Linked DNA regions of Arabidopsis thaliana. The protein of the gene in region 1 interacts with the protein of each later gene in a pairwise test. Each region holds a gene or a part of one and is shown on either strand. Other genes may lie near its edges.

What was found.
Region 2: the proteins of CRF1 (region 1) and ARR7 interact in a protein complementation assay, tested with the Arabidopsis thaliana proteins (one study listed by BioGRID).
Region 3: the proteins of CRF1 (region 1) and OFP13 interact in binary tests that used the Arabidopsis thaliana proteins (3 or more experiments, as listed by UniProt).
Region 4: the proteins of CRF1 (region 1) and RR12 interact in a protein complementation assay, tested with the Arabidopsis thaliana proteins (one study listed by BioGRID).

What each region holds. Positions count from the first base shown.
Region 1 is NC_003075.7:6,792,982-6,799,118, forward strand, and holds CRF1 (cytokinin response factor 1), read right to left. Parts: upstream 3,418-6,137; 5' UTR 2,813-3,417; coding exon 1,949-2,812; 3' UTR 1,649-1,948; downstream 1-1,648.
Region 2 is NC_003070.9:6,575,577-6,581,292, forward strand, and holds ARR7 (response regulator 7), read right to left. Parts: upstream 3,739-5,716; 5' UTR 3,503-3,738; coding exon 3,355-3,502; intron 3,225-3,354; coding exon 3,148-3,224; intron 2,929-3,147; coding exon 2,851-2,928; intron 2,758-2,850; coding exon 2,687-2,757; intron 2,590-2,686; coding exon 2,343-2,589; 3' UTR 2,257-2,342; downstream 1-2,256. Other genes in the region: AT1G19040 (NAC (No Apical Meristem) domain transcriptional regulator superfamily protein), read left to right, coding at 1,319-1,837. UniProt on the Arabidopsis thaliana protein: Functions as a response regulator involved in His-to-Asp phosphorelay signal transduction system. Phosphorylation of the Asp residue in the receiver domain activates the ability of the protein to promote the transcription of target genes.
Region 3 is NC_003076.8:1,396,314-1,402,077, reverse strand, and holds OFP13 (ovate family protein 13), read right to left. Parts: upstream 2,684-5,764; 5' UTR 2,394-2,683; coding exon 1,611-2,393; 3' UTR 1,294-1,610; downstream 1-1,293. UniProt on the Arabidopsis thaliana protein: Transcriptional repressor that regulates multiple aspects of plant growth and development through the regulation of BEL1-LIKE (BLH) and KNOX TALE (KNAT) homeodomain transcription factors.
Region 4 is NC_003071.7:10,722,372-10,729,835, forward strand, and holds RR12 (response regulator 12), read right to left. Parts: upstream 4,902-7,464; 5' UTR 4,591-4,901; coding exon 4,464-4,590; intron 4,184-4,463; coding exon 4,031-4,183; intron 3,903-4,030; coding exon 3,528-3,902; intron 3,439-3,527; coding exon 3,362-3,438; intron 3,266-3,361; coding exon 2,282-3,265; intron 2,194-2,281; coding exon 2,119-2,193; 3' UTR 1,930-2,118; downstream 1-1,929. Other genes in the region: PKL (chromatin remodeling factor CHD3 (PICKLE)), read left to right, coding at 13-143, 249-588, 673-805, 879-952, 1,033-1,392. UniProt on the Arabidopsis thaliana protein: Transcriptional activator that binds specifically to the DNA sequence 5'-[AG]GATT-3'. Functions as a response regulator involved in His-to-Asp phosphorelay signal transduction system.

The DNA.
Region 1 (6,137 bases):
CTCCTTCATTTCATTGACCAGAGATTCAAAACTCTCTAAAAACAATTATTTTTAATAGGACATTTTAGCCGTTTTTGTTTGCTCCTCCTACATACTGTTCAAAACTCTTGAAAACCTTTTTTTCCAAACGGACAATGGACCATGGGCTTACAAAGACTTCACGTTTACTACAATACAAACGTACGTGAGTAGATTAAATTTTATACTTTGGACTTGTCACTTGTAAAACTAAAAACCAGACTAAACGGTCCTAGCTGGTCCACATCACTGCCACCAACAATCCAACATGTCAACACAATCCCATAAAAATGAATGTCGTGCTCTCTTATGGGCCTTACCATTTGTGTGGGTTTTGCAGCTCTCAAATCACACTTGAAAAAGACGCTCAACTTCAACTAGAACCTTTTCTCCCTTTTTGAAATTAACACTGACAATGATCGAAATCCCTTTAACTTTGGTCCAATATCTCTATATGATAAGTCACAATGTTACGATGAAATCTTCAGTCTTCGGACAATAAGTTGATTAATGTTTCAAGGTTTCTAATACTAGCTAGGTAAGAAAAAAATAAATAACAAGTGAAGTGCATAGGAATGACACGAGAAGTGTACGTGAAGAGTGAAAACATTCAATAAATTTGTGAGTGAGGATAAATATAAGATTCTATCTATCTATCTCGTGTATTTAATGAGCACTGCAACATTTCATGAGACCTATTGTTATACTAGTCGTCCTCTACGTATACACTACGCATATCTTGTTTACCATTTGAACATTTATGATTTTTACCTCATCATTAGTAATTTATTAGACTATTGCGGTAGTTATTACAATGTCTCACATTGTTTGGGATTAAAAATTTTGGGCATTACATAAAGAATGTAACAATCATTAATTCTTTAAGTAGTGTTTTGGTTAAGTTATATCACATTCCTAATATAGTATCAGAGCCTATGATTGGCCCAACAGACAAATTCCGACAAAAATGGTTTTCCACTTATATAGTCCATACAAGTAGTATGTCTTGTTGTATTTCCGAGATGTTGGACTTGGACTGTTTTTCGTTGGACCGTTTCCCATCTATATTTCAAAAACGCGTATTAGAATATCCTACATCGCTTCAGATTAAAATCTTAGACATAATATAAAAGATATAGCAATCTTTGACTTTTGAGCTAGCTTTTGGATTAGTTAGATCACATTTCTAATAATGGTTATTCCTCGACTAGACCGACTTGATTTTAATTTGTTCGTATATAGGAATGTATGCTCTATGAAAATAGAAATTGTCAATAAAAAAGCTGCCCATTATAAGACATGTCACAGGTATAGAGACTTAAAACGGAAATAGAAAAAGTTACTATAGAGTTAAAAAAGAACAAAAGTTAAAGTACTACTGTATTATAGAAGTTTTTCCACACATGTAGCTTTCTTAAAGTTCAAAATAATATGAGTTGGTATGAATCAAATTCATTTTTTTGCATAGACACTTGCCAGGATTCGATTCTCCCCCACGTGTAATTCTAAAACATTTGCTCCAAAAGTAGAACAATTATGGTTTGCTAATATTGCTATTTGTCAAATAAACCCAATAAAAAGAAAGATTAACCAAAGCTTTTCACAAATTCGGTGATTCCTCGTCACGTGAGACAACACGTGATACGTCAAAAGACCAAAAGAAGAAAGAAAAGTAGTAAAGCGTGAAGAAACTCGTGCGTGTTTTGCCTCCACGCCGTTCATATACAGACGTTACTTAACGGCTAACGCCAAAAAGTTCACCATTTACCATTAGTTTTATTTAAAAATAAAATCACCATTAATTAAGTTACAAAAAAGTTTAATATATTTAACAAATCTTCATTCAAAAAATAAATCGCCGTTTTTTTTTAATCCTCGCCGTCGCCGGTAACAAAACTTCACTAAACGCCGTTAAACGGCCAGTTATTTCTTAAACAGTTAAGACAGGATCCGACCCGAATAAATCCCCAATATCTTGAAAATGGTCCTCAACGTGCCAGCTGGAGAATCCAGACCCAGACCCGAATCCAAACCCGGATCCAAAACTCATATCCGCAAAAAGATTATCTCCAAATAAATCGCCGCCGAAACTTTCACTCATCGACGTCGAGAAACCAAAAACGTCGTCGTCCGAGAACAACGGCGCCGAGAAATCTGAACCGTTAAAAGACGGCTCCTTTTTAACCACAATCTCCGCCGTCGATACACCGACAAACTCCTCTTTAACCGCAGTAGACTCGCCGGAGAACGGAGATTCGAGAACAGAAACCGGCGAACGAAGACATTCTCCACCGCCAATGATAAAATCCGAAACTCCTTTCACCTCCGTCGAAGCTTCTTCAACATTCTCCGTCACCGGAGGAGGAGGGAAGTTAAGCTCTGCGTTAGGACCACGTAGCTGAATAGCTGCGTTATCGTAAACAATGGCAGCTTCCTCCGCCGTGTCAAAAGTACCTAACCAAACCCTAACACGTCTACTCGGATCTCTAATCTCCGCCGCCCATTTTCCCCACGGTCTTTGCCTCACTCCACGAAACTTCCTCGTCGCCGTCGTAACAACCACTGGAACAGTAACAACGCGCTTCTTTCTCTTCTTCTTCATCGGCTTCTCTTTATCAGAAACCACCGAATCAAGCACCACTTCCTTCACGTACTTCTTAACACGACGTCGTTTTGTAGATAATGCATCAAAATCAACTTCTTCTTCTTCGTCGCTTGACGAATCTGTTGCGTAAGGATCAGTAACAGAGATTCGTAAGATTCTTGGGAGAGAAACTTTCTTCTCTGTCTCCATTTTTTAAATCTCTCTCTTTAAAACTGTTGTAATAGTTTTAACTTATGTGTGTTCTTCTTTGTGTCGTGTGTTTATATATAAAGACCAAAGTTAGGAAAAGTAAAGGGCAAAAAAGGAATAAAGAGAGAAAATTGGTAAAACAAGAGATTGATGCTTTGTAACAAGAAGATTTTCCCGGGAAAGTTGAAGAAAGCAGAGAGCTTTTTTAATATATGCTTATGGAATCAAGAGTTTGGTGAAGGAGGACACTAAAGAAGGAGATGCTTTTTTCTTATTTAGGGATGAAATTTCTTTTAAGAAATATTCCTGGGAATTTTTTTTTGCAGCGAAAAGAAAAAGTTTAGAGCAGAAGAAAAGAGTGACAAAAGATGAAGAAGAAGATAAAGAGAGAAGCAGAGCAAAACATGTAAGTGAAGAGAGTGACTCTGAATAGAACAGAGACTTTTATAGGATATTGAAACGGCGGTTGCGGCGTTTTACAATCCTTTTTTTTGTCATTAAGGGAAACAAAATTTGTATTTAATGACCTTGGAGGATGCGGTTTTAGTCTAACCTTTGACCTTAAGAATTTAAATAAATAGCAGTAATCAAGGGTGGTTAATAAATCTAATTAAATTCTTAAAACCTTTCTACGAAGAATCGCTCTTTTTCGTTCAACGACAGGGGTGTTTTGGTCATTTGCTAACTAAGTAAAAACAAATTAGACCGTTGCGGTGTGCAGGTTTTTTTTTTACTTTTTTACCTTTTTAGCAGTCTCTGGTCTTTTTCTACAGCAGGTTTCTGACGTGGCAGAGACGACAACATAGGATGTTACGTCAAAAAAAAACTAACTCCATTCGACTTGTGTGTCTTTTTAACGTTTTTTTGGAGTATTGATTAAATTTCTCTTGTTTTTGACATGAATATTAATTAAAATTTATTTTATTAAAGTATATTTTTGTCCTTTTTAACACTCTTTATAGAAAAACTCTCTTTTTCACTGCATATTTTCACGTGAGTGTTAAACCAGAGAAGAAACAAAGGCCTTTAATATATTGGTTCTTTTAACGTGGACCGTGTTTGGCTTTTTTCAAGATACGTTTTTCTACAAACAAAATATTAAAGTGTTGATTTGGCCAAAATTACAGAACACAGTAATATATGTGAAGTGAAATGGTAAACTCAAAAAAAAAAAAAAAAAAAAAAAAAAAAGAAATGGTAAACTCATTAAGCCACAATTATAACTTCCGAATCAAAATTATCAAGAAAATACAATCCGCAAAAAAAAATTCGTGATGTTATATACTTATATCTAATCACTTCATTTTTTTTAATCAAAACAACTAAGAAAGTAAAATAATATTTTATTAATTCTAGATTTAGAGAGATATTTTTTAAAAGAAAATAAACGCTATTATTCGGTGTTACTACAAACAAATGATACTTAATAGTGATACACATTTATTTATTTGTCTCATTTTTACTGGAAAGTAATTTGCTTTATAAGAATGAAGTATTTGCCTTATACCCTAAGGCCTAAGCAATATATGGATGTGATTAGTAACATATATGTTATGATTGATTTAATTTGAGGTATGGATGTTATATTCATAGTTAGCTTAAAAATATTGCTAAGTAAGAATTCATTTAAACTTTAGAGTTCGCGTTTTGTTGAGTATTAATGGTTGAGTTACAAGTTTTAGTTATCACTTCTGGAAACTTTATCTTACTATATAGTATTGTGTAAGAAAGCTCATCTTCTGTATACATTGGATGATATACTTATTCATGCTAAGCAAGAACTAAGAAAATAATTTACACAGCAAAAAATAATATTACAATTTATAACTATGTTGATAGCGGCAAAAGCTGAAATCTTTGTAATTCATCACCTTCACGGGGTACACACGACTCTACTAAAATAATTCATGTAAAATCTTGAGTCACCGATATCCACACGTGTCCCTTATGTTTAAATTTTAAAATGTGGATATTGCTTTTCCTAAATTTGGTTAGTATCTCTGACTAGTGACTATATAAACTTTTAGTTACTTATCTTAGCCGATTGGATAAATTTGGCTGACAAGTTTATAATAAAAAAAAAACCACTTCGTTTTAGTTTGTTATCTTGATGTTATTACATAGACAAATTGAGGTTTTGGCCTAAAATCATGTTAAAAAAGACATCAAATAAAACATCAAACCCCATTTTTGAAAACAAGTTAGCTACCCAATCATTTGAGAGTCCAATAAAAGTGGTAGTAATAGAAACTAGGTTTTCAAAGTTTCTTCGTGAGAATAAATAGCATATGATTAAAGGTAATGATGAGCCTTCTTCATGACACGAAAATAAAACAAAATAAGTAATGATGTGCCCTTGGTCCATGTAATATTATGATTATGACAAAATCATAGAGAAAGTTTTTTTAATAGCGGTAAATTACGATAATCGTAATAATGTATACTTAGGTTTTGAATAATGACTCAACCGCACATTACCGTGCGTTTTAAGTAGTAACAACTTTTTTTTAATATATATATATATATATTTTTTTTATTACTATTTAAACCACACCAGATTTTATCTGCAGTTGAACCGTACATTTTCATCGAAGCCTTAAAACATATTAGCTCACGTTATTGGGAGATGTAGCTATCGATATGGATTAATGGCTTAGGAAGTAAGAGTTTGATTAATTTTGAACCAAGTATAAGAAAAAAAAGAGACCGTACGGATAAATGTCGAAGAATATAAGGACAAGAGTTGGACGTTAGCTAGTAGGAAGTGGGCCTCACTTACCGCTCGCACCGTTAGTCCCGCAAACGGCGCCGTTCTCTCGTTTCGAGCCATCATCCCACTTGTTTGTTGTTTCATGTGACTTCTTCGTCTCGAGGCAAACTTGACTCTTCTTCACTTTCGCTTAATTACCCATTTGTCTGCCAACATCTCTTTTGGCTATATACTCATGAAACTTTAAAAAATCTTCTTATTTGTATGTTCGAAACTCCCTGAAAGTTTCAGTCTTCTTATGTATGACAAGAATCGCGAGAGACTATGCAATGAACCTAATCAAATATAACTCTTCTCAAGAAATGATATGAAAAAGATTCATGAACATAAGAGTTGGTCCTTGGAAAGCGACCTCTTCAAGTCTTCATTAATTAGACATTGATTCAGGTGCTTAGGAGTTAGGACAATGTAAATTAATAAACAAAGGTGGTGCTTAAGGCGGTCCATGACGTTGTAGAAAGTATTTTTTTTTCGTATAAGCCGACTATATACATATGTGTTTTTCATTTACTTATCGCAAATAAGAAACACACACTAATCAACTATTTGTAAATT
Region 2 (5,716 bases), on another chromosome or scaffold:
CATGCTACTAAATATTTTAAAATGTAAAATGTGAAAAAATACTAATAGATTTCTTACCAAAAAACAGTGGTGCTCTTTTGTTTTTATTGATTTTTTTTTTTAGTGAATTACAGCCCAATAAAGGAATAGCCACTTCGATAGCTGGGATTACAAAATTTGCCGGAACGCGGAGACATTCCGGCGAAGCTAATCGGGGAAAAGGAAAATCTTTTAAATTATATATTTTTATTAAAAAATCATCTTCAGTAAAAAAACAATAAAAGGTTTCTATGGAGGAGACATTTTTGAAAAATAGTATTAAAAAGATGCATTTTTTTTTTAAAAAGTCTTCCTTCAATGTGTGTTTTCAAAATAAATCCAAATATGTATTACATAGTCTTTGAAATACCTAGGAGTCCGATGATGAGAAAATACATATCCTAGAAATATATATAATTTCGGAAATAAAAGTCTTAAATATGATATACAGTCCTTTTAATTTAACAATTGTGAAGATGTTTAAAAAATTATAATTTTGAATAAAATACAAATGATAGTATTAGTGAAGTCGGCGAAGGGGGATTTATCTTTAAACACATTGTAATTGTTATTGTTGCGTATCCGTTGGCAGCAAGAAACAGAAACACAGAGTGAGTCCAAGATCGCTTTAGAGGAACGCTTGAAGAAACCACTGAACATTGATATTAATTATCAAATATTCGAGTTTCTTCTTCCTGCATTCAAAATTCGTCACCAAGATTGCAATTTTCTTATCATCTTCGAGCGTTCATCTCTGTTAGATTATCACGGTTTGTTTGAAGTCTGTTCTCTCGTGGAAGAAATTGTCGATCTCTCTGTTATCCAACTCTTTGTCGCGTTTCTTTCAGAATTTCTATATCTGTTGGGTCTCTGTTCTCTACTAGAAGAAATCGTCGATCATTGATTCAGGTAAGTTCTCGTTCTTTGTTATCCAAGTTTCTGCTTCAAGCATTCATCACCAAGATTCCAATTCGTTATTGGGGTTCTTGCAGAAACTTCTTCGAACATTCATATCTGTTAAGTTTTCACGTCGTTGGGTCTCTCTGTTAATCTGCTAGAAGAAATCTTCGATCATTGATTCATGTAAGTTCTCGTTCTCTCATAATCAAGTTTCTTCTTCTTCAGCATATATTCGTCTCTGTTACACTTTCACACCGTTTCTACTGCTAGAAGAAATCATATTCATTACCATGATTCCAATTCTTTTACTGGGTTTTCTTTTAGAATAATAGATCACTGTTTGTTTTTAGAGATCGAGTTTGATGAATTTGGTTTCTCGTTTCTTGGATCAGAAGCAAAAATGTCAGAGGTGTTAACACGCGGGTTTCGATTTCGCCCAGCTGATGAAGAAGTGACAGACTACCTTATGCGGAAGACACAATCGCCGGAGTTCAGCTGCTTTATCAAAACCATAGACTTGTACGACAAGGATCCGTGGGTACTTGGGCATGTGAGAGATCCGTGTTACAATCACTATGAATGGTATTACTTTGTTAAGAAAAACCCCCTCGGGAATGAGTACTTAGATAAGCCTAGATTGAACGGGTTTGAACATCCACGCTTGAAATGGGATGTGTTGAAGCAGATACATGATGCTCTGAGTTCTGGTCAGAACGTCCCACCAAGTGTCTTTACTTACGGATTCCGATTTCATCCGACTGATCAAGAGCTACTCTCTTTGTACCTCACTCCAAAGGCCCATTCACCAGACTTCAGCTGCTTCATAAGAGAGAGAGAGAGCTATATGCCATGGAGCCATGGCTTCTTGAACATGTTAGATCTCCTTTTTACAAGGACAGTGAATGGTACTACTTTGTGAGAAAGTGTTCGTCTCGTCGTGAAAAGCTGAATTTGATGTTCTACCTCAGGGGCAAGAAGAAAACATGGAGGGTCAATGGTGTTGTTACACAAATCATAGATAATGACATAGAGAAAAATGTTCTGGGAACTAAAACAAGATATTCTTTCAATCTCGATGTGGGGCGTGTCCACTCAATGACCGGGTGGAAAGTAGAAGAATTCCAATTGTCTTCGGATCCTGTTTGGGCGGTTTGCAGACTCACTTACCTGAAAAACGATTCCTGCGTGATTGATGATAGACCAATACTTCCGGGAGAAGAGCATCCTAAGCTTGAGTTGCAAGCATTGAAGAATTTACATGAGGTGTAAGTCAGTGTGAACCTAACATTTGATTCTTTTCTCTTTTTTGTTTTGTTTTGTTTAAGCAACATCATGAGTAGTGTGATGACTCTCTCAAACATTGTCTTTCTTGAGGAATATTAACAGAATGGTTTTGCTAAGGTCTTGGCCTCTATACATATAATTCAAAGTAGAGAAAAAAGGTTTTCAGATTCTGATTTCATTCGTTTTGAACATGAAGAGTCCTTGATAGAAGTATCATCATGACTTGATGATGATGTATCACTGTCTTCTTGAAGCTTTCTCTTGTTAGAATGGCTTAAGATTTTGCATTCCTCAGCTTCATTCCTCATTATAAGTTGTTTGATTCGCTTTACATCTGCTAGCTTCACCGGTTTCAACAAGAATTCCTCTGCTCCTTCTTTGAGACATCTAAAAACAAGAAGAAGAAGTCGATAAGTTTAGATCACAGTGTAGACACAAATATGATCCCATCTGTATCACTACACATTACACAATCAGTACTTACTCTTGTATACGAGGTAAGATGTTCTCAGATGACATAATCACTACTGGTACTTCTCTGAATGCTGAAGATTCCTGCACATATCAATGGAGTTTTGTATAAGCAGCATTAAAAAAGCTTTGTTTAAGTCTTTCTCAGATTGGTAAATCCATTATTATTGTTATTACCTTAATCTTTTTAAGGAGATCATATCCTGAAAGTCCTGGCATTGAGTAATCCGTCACTATCAAATTCACCTTCAAATCCTGTTATGATGAAAATCACAAACAAAATCAAATCTTAATACCAAAACACATAAATCACTAACTAGACTAGTTCATTTCTAAATCTCATTTGATCATAAAGACAAGAAGAAGCAATAGCCAAAGCCAAAGTTGCAAAGGTTTCACTCCTTCGGTCTTTCCTAAATATACAAGAGTTCTTCTCAGTAGATAGCAAAAGAGGGAAGATTTATTCTTAATTACCTTAAGATTAGAAGCCCCTTTGCCTCCATCTAAGCCAAGATACTGCAAAGCCCTAGTTCCACTCTCTACAGTCGTCACTGAAATAACAAAAAAAAAAAGACACTTGTAACTAAAAAACAGAGGAGAGTTTGTTAATGAAGAAGAAAAACAGAGGAGAGTTAAAACCAACAAAAACAGAGCAGAAAAAGATTGGTTTTGAGTTTTTACCTTTACAAGAAGAGATTCTAAGCAACCTCTCGATGACTTTACGATCCACAATACTATCATCGACGGCAAGAACATGCAACTCCGGAGTAGTAACAGTCAAATCTCCACCGGCGGGAATCTCCATCCTCATGACCTCACCAACCGCCATTGTCAAACTCAGAATAAAAAAGAGAGCAGATTGGTTCCAAGAAGAGGAAAGCTTTGGATTGAAGACAAAGGAAATGAATGTGATAAAATGAAAGAAGAAGAAGTTAGGTTAGGTGACATAAATAAGAAGGGAGAGGTGGTGGGGTTTAATAAGTACTAGTATAGTAGATAGAGAGAGATTTGGAAGATCGGATCTTGCGGGGTAAGATCTTTGAAGAGGAAACAAAATCTTAAAAATGGGTCAAGTGTTGATGTTATGTGTTTGGGAAGTGTCAGAAAACACAAATAATCAAATGTGTCTTCAAAGGTCAAAATCTTTGGGCACCGAATCTTTTTTAAGATTTCAAAGATCTTTGTTTGGTCTGTTTCTTTCAATCCGACAGCGACTACTCCCTCGTGACCTGGAACTTTCCTTCTGCTTTTAGTAATTTTATTTTAGTTTTACCTCTCTCTCTCTTCTTTTTTCTTTTTCTTTGCCAAGTCGGCTACTACTTTGCATTTTACTTACATATCAATCAATGATCTAAAACCGGTGGTTATTGCTCAATTAATCTACTTCTATATTCATTTTAACTTCAACATTGTATTTTGTATTTTCCTATACACGTGATTCGTTTATACTCTACTAAATTTTATTTATGTGTAATGGTATGATGGTGATACTAATACAATTTAATCCTCTTGTTGTCTTTTTTTTTTTCTTTTTTAATTTGGGTAAGAAGTATTTTACAAGGTTATCTTAATTTAATTTTCTTTACGTCAGTAAGGGTTATTATTTTATTTAAAGACAAAAGGGACATTTTTTATTTTTTATTGTCATCGTTTTCAGTTGAGTTTCCTTTATTAAATTGATTGAATTTTGTATGCAATAAAGGCACTCTGTTTAGTGGACCATTGTGTGTGATTTGTGAGTCTCTTTTGCTTTTGGACAAAATCTTGAGAGAAAAATATGGACAAAGTATTGCGGGTGGATCCTTTTGTCTCAATCATAACATCTTCTAAACGAATTGCAAGAGGACTAAGGCAATAGTACATGTTATTTGGTTTCAAATCAATTAAAAAACGTATATTATACGATCCCTAAATAAGTGTCAAACATGAAATTCCTAAATTAAATTGGAGAAATAATACCAGGACAACAGCCATATCATATAAGGATCTCTTTGCAGATTTAAAAGGTTTTTTTTTTTATTTTGCAACAAAAGGGAATAGTTTTGTCATCATTTCATTTAAGTTGTTTAGTGATTTTTTTTAGTTGACCATCATTGTGTGATTTTGTGAGTCCTTTTTGGACAAAATCTGGAGAGAGTAAAATCTTCAAAAGTTGTGGAGGAGGATCCTTTATAGTTTGTAACATCTTTTAGCCGATTGTGAGAGGACATTGACAAAAACATTTTGTAAAGAAAACTGGTTTCTTAGCATTAATTTAGAATCTAGCAAACTTTTTGTAACGATTTGATAGATATCTACAAATATCAATGTTGAGATCTACAAGAATCTAGCAAAAACATGATGGTCTTCACACCTAACACTTACGAAAAACATTATTTTGAAAAAAAAAAAAAGAGTCAGTCATTTGAAGAGAAAATTATTACAATGTTGATCCACATGTCTAAACATTTGATGATCGTGCCAAACAAAACATTGGTGATAAGAACATTACTGAAAGGAAAAGGAAAAAACCATCAATATGTTTCACATTTTCTTATTTTCATTGCAATTTATATATGGAACAAACTTGCTTTCAAATGTTTTTTTCCACCTAGATTTTAATGTCTTATGTTTCAAGTTATCAAGATCTTTGCATACATTTTGAATAATAAAATAAACAAATCAAGAGACAGTCATCCATTTGCTCCGTACCTAAGATTTATGAAAAGAAAATCCTAAATCCAATTTAAAAAAACGAACCACAACCACCAAAGTCTTTCATGTATTCAGTTATTTTTTAGAAGTCAATAATTTGATTTTAAACATAAACGAACAGTTCCTGAATAATAGAAACGGACTATTGATGATATAGTCACGATAGCTACAAGAGGAGAAAAAACACTATAGTCATAACAACGCTAAAATATATATAAAAGTGTTCTCCGTTTGTTGGTTTCGTAATAAATAATGCTTCATCATATAGTCACGTACTGATTTGTTTACAAAGTTTGCTTACAATCTCAAGATACGATGACCAAAATACCAAAGATATTACTAGTTATTT
Region 3 (5,764 bases), on another chromosome or scaffold:
ATACTGATTTTGGTTAGCTTTTGGGTTTGAATTATCCTAAATCAAAATAAACCGACGTGGGGCCGGATCGAAGAACCTCCCTCAAATGGGCCTTCACTGTCAAATCTAAAGTATCCATTTACTTTTGGTCTCGTGCTTGACGTAATGTATTTAGATATTAGATTTTGTGCATGTACTGTGTTTGGGCCCCTGTTATATACTTGTAGAAGACGAAAAATGACTCTGGTTTTTGTAAGTACCGTAGAAACAAAGAAAACAAGCTGTGTAAAAGTAACTGTTAGACGCTATGTTTGTGACAGACACAGTTCTGTGTTTTTATTTGTTACAAATATTTGGCTATAGTTTTTCTGTACTCTTGAAAAACTCCAAATTGTATACTATCTCGTATATATTTGAGGACCAGCCCTATGTTATATGTGTTTCCTATAGAAAAATCAATTTTGTGAAATTGAGGAGGAATGAGAACATGCATAGCTCTAAAATTATGAAAAGAAAGGAAACAAAACAAAACAAACAAAACAAAAACAAATAAACGTCGTCGTCTAGGTTGGTCCCAAAATTAAATGTAGAGTAATAAATGAAAAGAGATAAGAGAGAAGTGAGTAGGTCTATGATGTTGGGATTCACAGGGCCTGTGTGTGTGTGACCACTGACCACAGCACCATTGCTCATCTCATGTTACTCCATTCACTTCACAATACAAAATACAAATTACAAATCTCTTTTGTAACATTTCAATTCAAACGTTACTATAGACCAACATTCTCTTTTAATGCACCCTCGTAAATACACTATCCTTTTCTGTATTTTTAAAACTTGAATCTCATAAGTTCATGACAATTACATTTATACATACACTACGGGTGTTTCTATTACGCTTATTTTCAAGATTTTAACTCCAGCATGGATATCACAAAAAGGGTTTTGCTAAATATCTTACGTGATGATGCTTTTAAGAGTCAAATCAATAAATAAAATCTCTATGTTATTAATGTTAATACATGAATTATCCGAGCATGATATTTAATGAGTCTTACAGTTTATGTTAGTGTAGTAGTCCTTGTGTAACCATCGAAAATTCGTAATACCAAATTTTATTTGGGGAAAAAAAATGTAAGGTCCAATATTTGTGACAAAAAAATTTTTAATATGGATGCCAAAGGAGCTACATGCCTACATCTAATGAGAAAGGCTATATAATATGCCTGCAAAAAAAATGAGAAATTATAATTCTATGTCCTTTAAAACCTAAAAAAGAAGTAAAAAATAAAGAGCTTAAATAAAAAGAAGTATCACAGAATTTATTCTTATGTATATTTCCTTTTAAAATGGGGCTGTTATACAAAATTTCTCTGAATCTGTTGGCATAAACTTCGCTGAGTTTCATGAATTTTGGGGGAAAAATAGTGTAACTTTCGAGTTATGACAAAAGGCACTGTTATACACATAAATCAACAATAATGGCTCTAAAAATATTTTTGATATATATTTAATGGTTCTTTTTCCTCTAACCACTAATTACTTTTTACAAAATCCAAAAAGGGTTAATTAATCTAAACAAAACCGGAGATTAAAAAATTTAAAACCGAATCTTAAGCCTTTTTTTATTTTTAACAGCTCCGTCTCTCTTCCTCTTGAATCTCCGTCTGACCTTGAGATAACGAATAAACCGGCGACGACGGCAAAGACGAAACGGCGGTTGAATAACGAGCCGAATCCGATACCGAAGCCGACGTTATTCCGGCGCCGGAATCAGAGAGTCCAGAGAGAAGATCAACAAAAGCACTGACGATAACGCCGTGACTCTTCCTCCCATTCATCCTCAAATACCAAGCGAGCATCGATTCCAAGCTCTCCCAATCTTTAGCCAACTCACCGTGACTCGTCACCATCTCCTCCATCGATCGCCGGAAATCACCGTACGGATCCTCGGATTCCATCGCCACCGCGACACTAATCTCCTCAATCGGCGTACTCCGATCTTCTCCCACCGCAACCGTTTCCTTCGATTTCAAATCCGATTTCGATTTCTCTTCAATCTCTTCCAGAATCGAACTCGTAACTCCTGGATCGAAGAATAACCGCTCCGATCTAACAACGCCACGAACCACCATCTCTAAGGACTCAGCGTCAAGGTCTTGATCCGACTCGGTTGAGTGACTCGCTGTCTCGGACGAGTTAGTAAACCATGACTCAGGCGTCTCCGCTTCCAACAAATCTCCTCCATTGTTGTTGTTGTGGTGGTGGTCGAAGAAAACAGAGTTCACCGTCTTGATCATGTCGTCGCCGACTCGGAACGAAAGAGTTTTGGCATTGTAACAGAGAGGAACCGCTAGTAATCCTCCGGCTCCGCCTTTGAACAGAGAAGAGAGTTTCATCTTCTTCTTCCCCATTGATACCACCAATTGTTTTTTTCTTTGTGAAGATCTTTGGTTGGGTTTGGGTTTAGTAATTAATGGAAGAGGAAGGAGTTGGAGGGAATGCGATATATGGGGAGAGAAGAGAGAGCTGGTGGGGTCAGGTCATGTGTCTATTTAATTTTGGGATATTTTTCTATTTGTTGTTAATTTTCCATTTTTTTCTGGTTAGTTATTTGAAGTGCTTTTACTTATTTAGTCTAAAGTCTTAACTATAAAAATTACGATGATTGAAGTTGATAGTTTGTTTTTGTTTTGCTTTGTGGTTAGCTTTTTCGATTCGTTTTCTGTTCAACCGGGATTTCAATAGTTTTTTCCAATATTTGATTTGCTACAATCCAAATTTTTAATATTGGTTTTTTCTACACTATTCGATCTAATAATTGATCAATTTTACAAAAATGTTTTTATAATGGAGATATATTATTTTTACAAATAGTTTATTGCTACATTTTACAATAATGTTTTTGTCGTTGTGATTTTATTGATATACACATGAGTGGAAGAATTATGTTTTTTACAAATATTTTGCTGTTTTGAAAAATTGACAATCTTCTTGTGTGACGAAAACACTTATCCTCATGCAGTTTACATATTATTAGCTCCATGGGTTGTTATTGCCTTGTTGGAGAGGTTGAATTTGTATTTTTTAACTAACAAAAGTTTCATGCAAACACGATATAATGGCTCTATGGGAATTTGAATTTTTATTTTGTCTTTGTTATCTAAATTTAAGATGATAATATTATACTCATGAACAAGTATAGTAAGACACAGCAGTAGCATTCAATTTGGTTGAAGACAAGAAAAATTAAATATTTTAATTAAAATAAAATAAAATAATACTAGAAAAAATGTTAGTCCCGAGCCAATGACAAAGCACTGTGCAGAACACAAAGCATTAAAAACGATTGCTTACAAGAAAATGTTGCAGAAAAACAAATCCCAATAAACATTTAGTAATTTTATATACTACTACTACTTTATAAAGGTTGATTGACGGTACTACATTCTTGTCTATTGGCTCGTCTTGTCAAATCTTCTTCTCATTTTTAATTACTCTCTCTTTACGACTTTAATAGTGTTTTACATCTTAATTAATTTGTTTAATTTTTTTAAAACTGATGTATAAGCTATTTTGTATTATATAATCCATAAACGAACACGTAAAAATCGTACTGATGCAGTCAGTTTTGACTTTCCTATAAGCACTGTGAGCTTCTAATACTCTCGGTCAACGTGTTATCTATAAATTACGTATGTGTAAATTATATGAAGCTTTGAGCTTAAAGAATGTTTCTTCTTGGTCGCAATACAAATTTCTAAAAGTAAGAATTGTAATTCAACTGAATAATTAAACTCGATGAACATCAGTTTCTTGAATATATATTTAAAAATAATTTATTTCGTTTAATTTTTTTTGAGGAATTGAAGTCTTATATTCGAAGAAGGACTATGTTATATGTATGTTTTTAATTAATGATGAATTTCTTGGACGATTTTCTTTACTAAGGTAAAATATATGATCCATCAAGGTAGAACAAGAATGTAGGGGATAGATCCTGAGACAGTGTCCTTTAGGAATCAGTCAATATTATAGAGTTTATCAGAGATATAAAACTGAAAGTAGTAAAAGATTTAAACAGAAGCAATCTGATGTTGAAACCCATTGTTGTGAAATAAATGCATCATTATTTTCGTACATTTTCAACTTTATTTACCCAACACCTCCATATCTTTCTCTTTTGCAAAAATTTCCTGTTTTGCCTTAATTTGCGTAAGATATTGGATCAACGTTTGTGGGATAAATATGGGAACATAGAATAAGAAAAAGAGAGAGAAAGATTGTGTGCAAAACTCATGTGAGGAATTAAAGAGGGCACCGTTGAATCACGCATATATTAACTGTGGATTTCCATCTTCTACTACTAGATCTTTAGTTAGGGGACCAAATTTACAAAAGTACAGTATATTCCTCTCTATGGTTTAAATTTTTAAATACATTAGACTATATATAAATTACATTTTTTCATTTACAGTACTTTGAATACTCTACAGTGTTCATGATAGACTATTCAACTTGTAACGTGTTTGCAAATGAAGATGTCTAAAAATAAAGTTTATAACATGCAATATTTGGAATACTCTACAGTGTTCCTACATCTTTTTAATTTTATGTTCAAATACGACATTTTTGCCATATTATCCTTTTAAATTTGCTCCCTATTTATACAGTTGATTAACAAAAAGTTATTTGAATACTCTTACTTGGTTTTATGAAACTGTTCACAATTTCAACAATTCAACGAAAACCGAAATTATAATACATGAACATCTTGGACATGCCTCTTTTATCCCCTTGCTAAAGACCGACATTAGTATAATTATTCTACTTGAGTTTTAACTGTGTAAGAAATAATAAATGCCAAGCACAGTTGTAAGAAATCTTAGAAGTAACTTCTCAACAACTTCCACGGTGATTTAAACTTTTTTTGTTTTTTATCCATTACTAAATAAAGTATTTTAAGAAATTTACCTCAAATATTTTTGATGTTGATATTTACTAACTTTTAAGTTGGTAGATTTGATAAATGGTCAATATTGTGCTTAGAATTTGTTTACATTTTGTTTAGCTTCAGTATTTATTTGCATTATCATTAGTAGCTAGAGAACTCAAGATAAATGCATTTTGTTTCGTGGAAGTGTCCAAGGTTTTATGAGAAAAATGCTACCTTTTTCAAGCTTCGAAACATGAGATTGTATTGATGTTTATTTTTCTTTCAAGACATAGTAATTGACCTAAAGCTTTTCGGGCAGGGTTCACTTGTTCGTAGAATAGATCGATGCTTTCCGAACCCACTAAACTTTAGACGACATCATCCCGATTCACTGGAATATCCCCTATGATTTATTTGGTTCTGTGATTTTTTAAAAAATCACTTACAAACAATCTTGTTTTAAATGATTGTTGATTTAAGAAGAAAACCTACATAAAAACTAAAAGAAAATATAAATTTGATAAAAGTCATAATTATATTTACTAATGGTTTGCTATATATGATAGAGGAGTAACAAATCTCAGCACTTTGGTAACATAAAACCTACAAAAGAGATACGAATATTGTGCTCGTGCGACCAAGTGATACGTATGTCGGACTTTGTACCATTTGGTACTAATCATAGAGACATACTAAAATGTTTTCTTTTTATTAAAACATAATTCTTCTCTAAAGTATCCAAACACATAAGTCTTTCTTCTACTAATTACTATCTTCTCCATCAGCACAGAAAATTAAAGGATTGAGCTAAACCAGTTAATAGATAGAATCATTAGTGTGGGTTGGTAC
Region 4 (7,464 bases), on another chromosome or scaffold:
CTGGCCCGACAGGTGAAATTTGTAGAAGATCATCCAGGGAAACCTGTTTTCCCCTCTCGCATTCTTGAAAGATTCCCCGGACTGAGAAGTGGAAAAATTTGGAAGGAGGAACATGACAAGATAATGATACGTGCTGTTTTAAAGTATGAACCCTGCACCACTGTTCTTACCGAATGGTTTTATTTTCTCATCATTCTCCATTACTTGCTCACATTTTCTTTTCCTTCTCTGGAAATTTGAATCTTTAGGCATGGGTACGGACGGTGGCAAGCTATTGTTGATGACAAAGAGTTGGGGATCCAAGAGCTTATCTGCAAAGAATTGAATTTCCCTCACATAAGTTTGTCTGCTGCTGAACAAGCTGGTTTGCAGGGGCAGAATGGTAGTGGGGGCTCTAATCCGGGAGCACAGACTAACCAGAATCCTGGAAGCGTTATTACTGGGAACAATAATGCTTCTGCTGATGGGGCTCAAGTAAACTCGATGTTCTATTATCGGGACATGCAGAGACGACTTGTTGAGTTTGTGAAAAAGCGAGTTCTGCTTTTGGAGAAGGCGATGAATTATGAATACGCAGAGGAATATTATGTATGTTGTACCATCTGCAGTGTTGGTACTTACTCACATGTTTTGCGCTGAATTGTTTAACTTTGATTGAATCTCTGGTTGCAGGGACTTGGTGGCTCATCATCTATCCCTACTGAAGAACCAGAAGCTGAACCAAAGATCGCTGACACAGTGGGAGTGAGCTTTATTGAGGTTGATGATGAAATGCTTGATGGACTTCCTAAGACTGATCCTATCAGTAAGTTCCATCACAAGTTTCTTTATTTAACGAGTTGTTGATTCTAATGTGAGCTCTCTGAATCTCGCTGCAGCTTCAGAAGAAATTATGGGGGCTGCTGTTGACAACAACCAAGCGCGGGTCGAAATAGCTCAACATTATAACCAGGTAAGCTATGCTTTTTTCCTTTGGTGGTAGGCTAATGTCTAGAACTAGTATATCACACTAATATCTCTCCGGTTATTCAGATGTGCAAACTTCTTGATGAGAACGCTCGGGAATCAGTCCAAGCATATGTAAACAACCAACCACCGAGTACCAAGGTGAATGAGAGCTTCCGTGCACTCAAATCTATCAATGGTAACATTAACACAATCCTTTCGATTACATCTGATCAATCCAAGTCACATGAAGACGACACCAAGCCAGACCTAAACAATGTTGAGATGAAGGACACGGCCGAAGAAACAAAACCGTTAAGAGGTGGCGTCGTCGATCTGAATGTGGTGGAGGGAGAGGAGAACATTGCTGAAGCTAGTGGAAGTGTTGATGTAAAAATGGAAGAAGCCAAAGAAGAAGAGAAGCCAAAGAACATGGTCGTTGATTGACTCAACTGGTAAATCAAGATTCAAGACCCAAGGGGTCATGAAGTAGGAACTGTTGTATTATCTTTGGTTACATGTATGAGACTTATTCTTCCTTTTGTAAGACCTATCTTCTGCTTATGCAAACATTGGTAACATTTTAGGCTAACTTTGATATTCTTCATGTTTTCCTATTTTTGGAAAATCATGAAATTATAGTTTCTCAATCAAAGCTGTTTGGTTATGCACCTCAAGCTTTTTAACAGTGTGTGAATAGGTTCGATGAAGTCCGGTTATGTTTCCGGTTAGACGTCGTCTGTTTCAATCTAACTACTATTCTCAATCAAACTCAAAAACTGAACTAAATAATGTAAGATACAAACACAAGAATGTTATAATACAAATTTGGGTTGACTTTAACATAATGGTTTCGAGTGTACGAAGGAATCTTTGTTGCTTTAAAATTCGTCATCATCACTTTTTCTTCATAGACTTTTTCTATAGGGTTGTTTCTTCATAGGCCCGTGAATTTTGGTTTCATACACAAAAGGGACAACTATACATTAAAATAAAAAAGTAAGAAAGTTTATTTATGAATCCTTTTTTCTTTGTTGTTTTCTTTAATGGAGTCCTAAATTGCTAGAACCAGTGGGAAAACAAATAGTTTACAATTTTAATACACAAAAGATTAGCGAGAAAAAGAGACAAACAAGATGATGATATTTGATTTATGTCTAAATGTTTGTTCTCTCATATGCATGTTCTGAGTGAACTAAACCCTCCATATCCCAAATCTCCTCCAGACAAATCTCCCTGGCTCTGTTCCTGTCACATTCACAAAATCTTCATGTCAGAAATCACAATAATCTCCAAATCAGAATGGTTAATATTGGCAAAAGCTTTAATGTCACACCTGCTTCATCGTGGAGTTGACTATATCATCTAAGGAACCAGCATCTGCAACCATGAATCCACCACTCTGTAACTTCTGTTGGCCTACGACGAACCCTTCTTTCGGGTTACTACTACTCAACAGAGCCATAGCATCCGTGGATGGACCATAAAAGACTCCAGGTTGCACATTTGTGTTTGAATCGAAGTCCGTGTTTCTACAGAAAGCTCGGGGATTTGTTGTATCCAAGGCTGGAGAACTCAATGTATTGGCAGAGTCACAGAATGGTATAGAGTAGCTTGATGACACATTGTTCCATTCCAAGGGGTCGGGTCTAGAATGCGGTAATGGAGAGACATCGAACTGATGATTGATACTATTACTGTTATGTGCCGGGGGAGGAGGGTGAGTCGAAGAGGATACAGCATTTGACCAATGCTCCAAACGTTTATTGATCTGGTGTCCTGGGAAGCCTGGAGGAGTTGCTTGTGGGTGACCTTCTAGAACCACGACATTGTTATTAGGAGCACTGATGAGCGAGTTTTGTTGCGTAGAGAAGCTAGGAAAAGCCATGGAGGTCCCAGCAATGCTCTTGTTACTGTTCATGTTTCTACTTTTGTTGTTGTTTGTCTGAAGCTGGTCGAACTCTAAAGGCATTGGCAACCCTTGAAGTATGTTTCCTCCATCACTGTGGTTAAGAGGAAGTGATGAGACATGGTGAAACTTTCCGATATCGGTCTGGTTTTGCAAGAACATTCCTGCAGGAGGAGAAGAAAGGCTGCGGACACCGATCCCCGAAGGAGTATTGAGTCTGCCAAGAATCCCGTTTGGAGGGAAAGATCTCATTGCAGGAGCCCCACCATGGTACTGACCAGATCCAACAGGGATTGGGCGGTGATGGAAACCATCAAGTCCATTCATTTGCATAAAATGTAACTCAGAGTTTGCCATAATAGCTTGCTGATTAGCCACACCACTGATCCTCTTCAAGTAAAGGCGGAATTTCTGCAAACCACAGCGAACAAAGTCATAAGCTTCCGAGGTGTTAAAAAACAAATCTTCGGGTTACGCAAGTTAAAAACATGAAAGATTCTTTGTAACCTGAAGATGACTGGCCACATTTTCTCTAGTGAGCTTCTCAACATTCATCAGATCCAAAATCTTTTTAGGCATAGCCTCTGCAATCAAAACAACACACACAAAACAGAACTTAAGTGACATACTGATAAGCTTACTCTCATATCAAGTGACATATTGATAAGCTTACTCTCATATCCCAATTGGTTAACAGCTGCAACAAATTTCTTATGCAGCTCAACAGTCCAAACAACACGTTGCTTCTTTTGAGCACACGAATCATCATTATCATCTCTATCCTCATCCTCATCTTCATTATACTGATCTTTACGTTTTCTATTACCTTTCCCATTGTTCTGATCAGAATTCCCAACACCTTCATTACCTGATCCATCTCTCTTATCACCATTATTATTACTCCCACGGTTCTTATCAAATCTACTTCTCACGACATGTTGCCATATGTTCTTCAACTCCTCAATACGAACCGGCTTCAGTAGATAATCACAAGCACCATGAGTAACTCCCTTCATCACATACTTTGGATCACTATGCGCAGACAACACTGCAACAACAAGAAAATCATCATCACAAAACCAAGTCTAGAGATCAAAACTTTATTCCTGTAGTGAGTCATTAAGGAAATAAATGACAAAAGTTTAATTAGAAAATAATAATAATAATAAGACTTACTTATGACAGGTAGGTCCATTTCAAGACCAACAAGCTCAAGGAGTTTGAAACCATCCATGTCAGGCATGTCAACATCACTAATAACCAGATCAAACTTGTTCTTGTTCTCTCTCAATAACTCTAAAGCCTTTTGTGCTTGGTTCGTCGTTGTTACTGCAACAGATTCCATAAAGTCTTAAACTTTTAATTCAATTCAACAATGAAACTTTCTCTCTGACAAATGTCAAATCTTACAAAATCTAACAATGGAATAAAAAAAGCTAAGTTTTTTTTAGATTTGTGTATACAAGAAGTTAGGTAGATAGATATCAAAAGATTCCACCATATGTGGATCAAATCACAGATCAAAGAGACATAAAATCTAAAAACTTGATGAAAAACAGATCCAAGAAAACAGAGAGAGAGAGAGAGAGAGAGAGAGAGAGAGAGGAACCATGGTATTGGCAGTGACGAAGGAGAGATTCAAGGATTTTGAGACAAGTTTGGTCATCATCAACAGCAAGAACTCTCATTCCTACAGGAAACTGATCCAAAGCTTCTAAATTTTGTTCAACAGTCATCGTTTTTCAACAGACCCAGAAACGAAAGATTGGATTTTTAATCTTTTTTGCAAGTTGAAGAAAGAGAGAAAGTGGGATGTGCAAGAACGTCGATGGAGAAATGAGTTAAAGATTAAATATGTGAATGGGGTCTAGAGAGAGAGAGTAGTAGTATATAATATTTAGATTTAGAGAGAGAGACAAAAAGATTTTTCCAGCAGAGTTAAAAAAAGGAATCTTCTTTAGCTCTTCTAGCTATCTATAAATGGCTATGGAAATTGTGTGTGATCATCTTCTTAACACTATCCACTCTTTTTCTGCAATTCTTTTTTTTTTCTTTACATTACAAAACAAATAACATTTTATTGAGAGACTTAGAAAGAATCTTTGAAACATAACCAATTTGGTTTAGTTTGGTTTGTTTTGTTTTGTATGGTTTCTTTTAAACCAAACGGAATAATAAACTCAATTATACGAAAATTCGTAATTTTTAAACGAAACTGAACCGAAATGACTAATATTTGTCTAGTGGTTTTTGTTAAAGTGGTGTTTTAATGTCATTATACCGAATCAAAATCCGCATATTGTACCGAGTTTAAACCGTTACAAATTGAAGTGAGTTGTTTGATTTTGGTGAGTAGTCCCTACACTTATATATAAGGATTTCCACCCTAAAAGAAACTTGTATCCCTATCCTCAGGTGATATATAATACACCATTTTTTTTAGGTTTATCAAAAATTATCATTTGTAGGACCAACCATATATTGTACACTGGTTTAGTGACTGAACCGGATTAGTATTATTGCCACTTCCTCTCTCTAGTCTAAAGACTTTAAAGTTTAAACTAATAAAACACACTACTTGTTTGCAATTAAATTGTGTTAAAAAGTAAAAACCAGGTAAAATAATACTTAGGTGTTATTTGAATGGGGGAAATTAAAAAGTAATTATGTTAGAGATAGGAAAGTGTTTAAGTAAAAAGATTTTGGTTTATACTATCATTTATATCGCATCATTATTGTGGAGATACATTTTGATTCTTGTTAATCTAGTATTGTCCAACTGTTAAACGGACAAAAAAAATTAAATTATTTCCATAATGTCAATCACTGTTAAATACTTTCCTTAGCATTTGTTTCAGATTTAAACCGATTTACTAAAACGATTTTTGTAAAATTTTGGGTTTTAAATATATTGTAGTCACAGAAAAAAAAATCAAAACACCTAATTCGATTATTTCTATCATTAATTTAAATTTCATTTCTTATTTTTTAACAGTGTTTATATTAATTTGTTTGGTTGGATATAAGATGATAAATGGTTTTATTCCAGGATTTTGTATTAATTTACGAACCCCAAGTAGTAGTGTTAAAACGGTCTTTCTTGTTGGAGAAGACCCTTCATTTTTTTTAGCACTTGTTTACCTTCGTGACTAATTTTTATGTAAGTGTGTTTCTTGAGAAAAGTGTTTTAACTTCACTTTATAACATATGTATCAGAGAATCTCGTAGCATTACATGTAACTTAACTTCGGCAAGTCTTGGTGTTAAACTTATTATTATCTTATATATAGATTAAGCCATTCTAGCTGGTTTCTAAGGAGATTTGTCCCAAACTCGAAAACGGACTAAACAATTTTGATAGATAAGACCACATCTATCTGATATCCAGTATTGCTTTGATCGCGTAATCGAGGTCTAGATGAGGTAGTAAGTAGTAACCCTCTTTCTCCTATAAGTTTTTAAGGTACTTCACGAGGTCTAAGATATGTCCATTCATGTAGATAATACATATCTGTTTACTGTTTTTCCCTTTTCTCCTTTCATGCACTGATGTACAAGCAAATGATAAAATTGACTTAGCAAATCAATTGTAGAAACCATAAAGTAGCCTATGTTTTTTGTACATACTCTTAAAATCGACTATATCATTATTCTTAGAAAAACGCTATCGAAATATATGATAACGTTAAGAAAAACGCTCTAAAATATATGGTACAAAAGATAGTAAACTGACAATTGCACTCGGACTCCACTGATATCCAAATCGTAACGGTATCTGGTATTCAAATTTTAGCATCCTTTTGATCTTTTTCCAAAAATATAAACACTATGTCTCTTAATTACATCTTGACTTTATTTTTCACTATAATTTGGCATAGAAATGATAGACTGTCGTGGATCATTTTTCCAGCTCGGCGTATAAGAAAACAATTTTTTTCTCATAATCGTCTTAGCTTTCGGCATGGTTGAAATTATTGAATTGATCGATATTAGAGATATCGTCCCACGTTGAAAGTTTAGTAGGAACTTAAGCAGTTATATATAAGATATAAGTCTCTTTACTCATTCCCGATTGATTTTGAGTTGGAAGCCCATAATCTAATATGGTATCAGTGTCCGATCTGCATATAGTCAACCCAATCCACATCGGTCCACTAATCTATGCCCAAACATATCAAGACTAATGGATAGAAAAGCCATCATTTAGAAGGATCGTATTAGAGATATTGTCACATATTAGAAGTTAGTATAATCTTAAGTAATATTTATAAGATATAACGTTCTTCACTCATTACCAATTAGTTTTGAGTTGGAAGCTTATATTTTGATAGAAGAATCCTTTGAATTTACTATTTTTGTGTTCTAATACTTCCGTGTCAACTGTTGTTGCGTAGGAAAACTTGCCTCTCAATGGATAAAGTAAGCTCAAAAGTTTTGTTATCGCCTTAAATTTGAATTTTATAAAATCACACCTTTGGAAATTAATATTACAAGACCATACTTTAATTACAAGTAATCAGATTGATTGGAGTATGGTTTCAAAAACTACTATGAATATTCGAAAAGTGTATCTTGTGAAACAGTTTTAAATAGCTTTCTAAAAAAAAAAC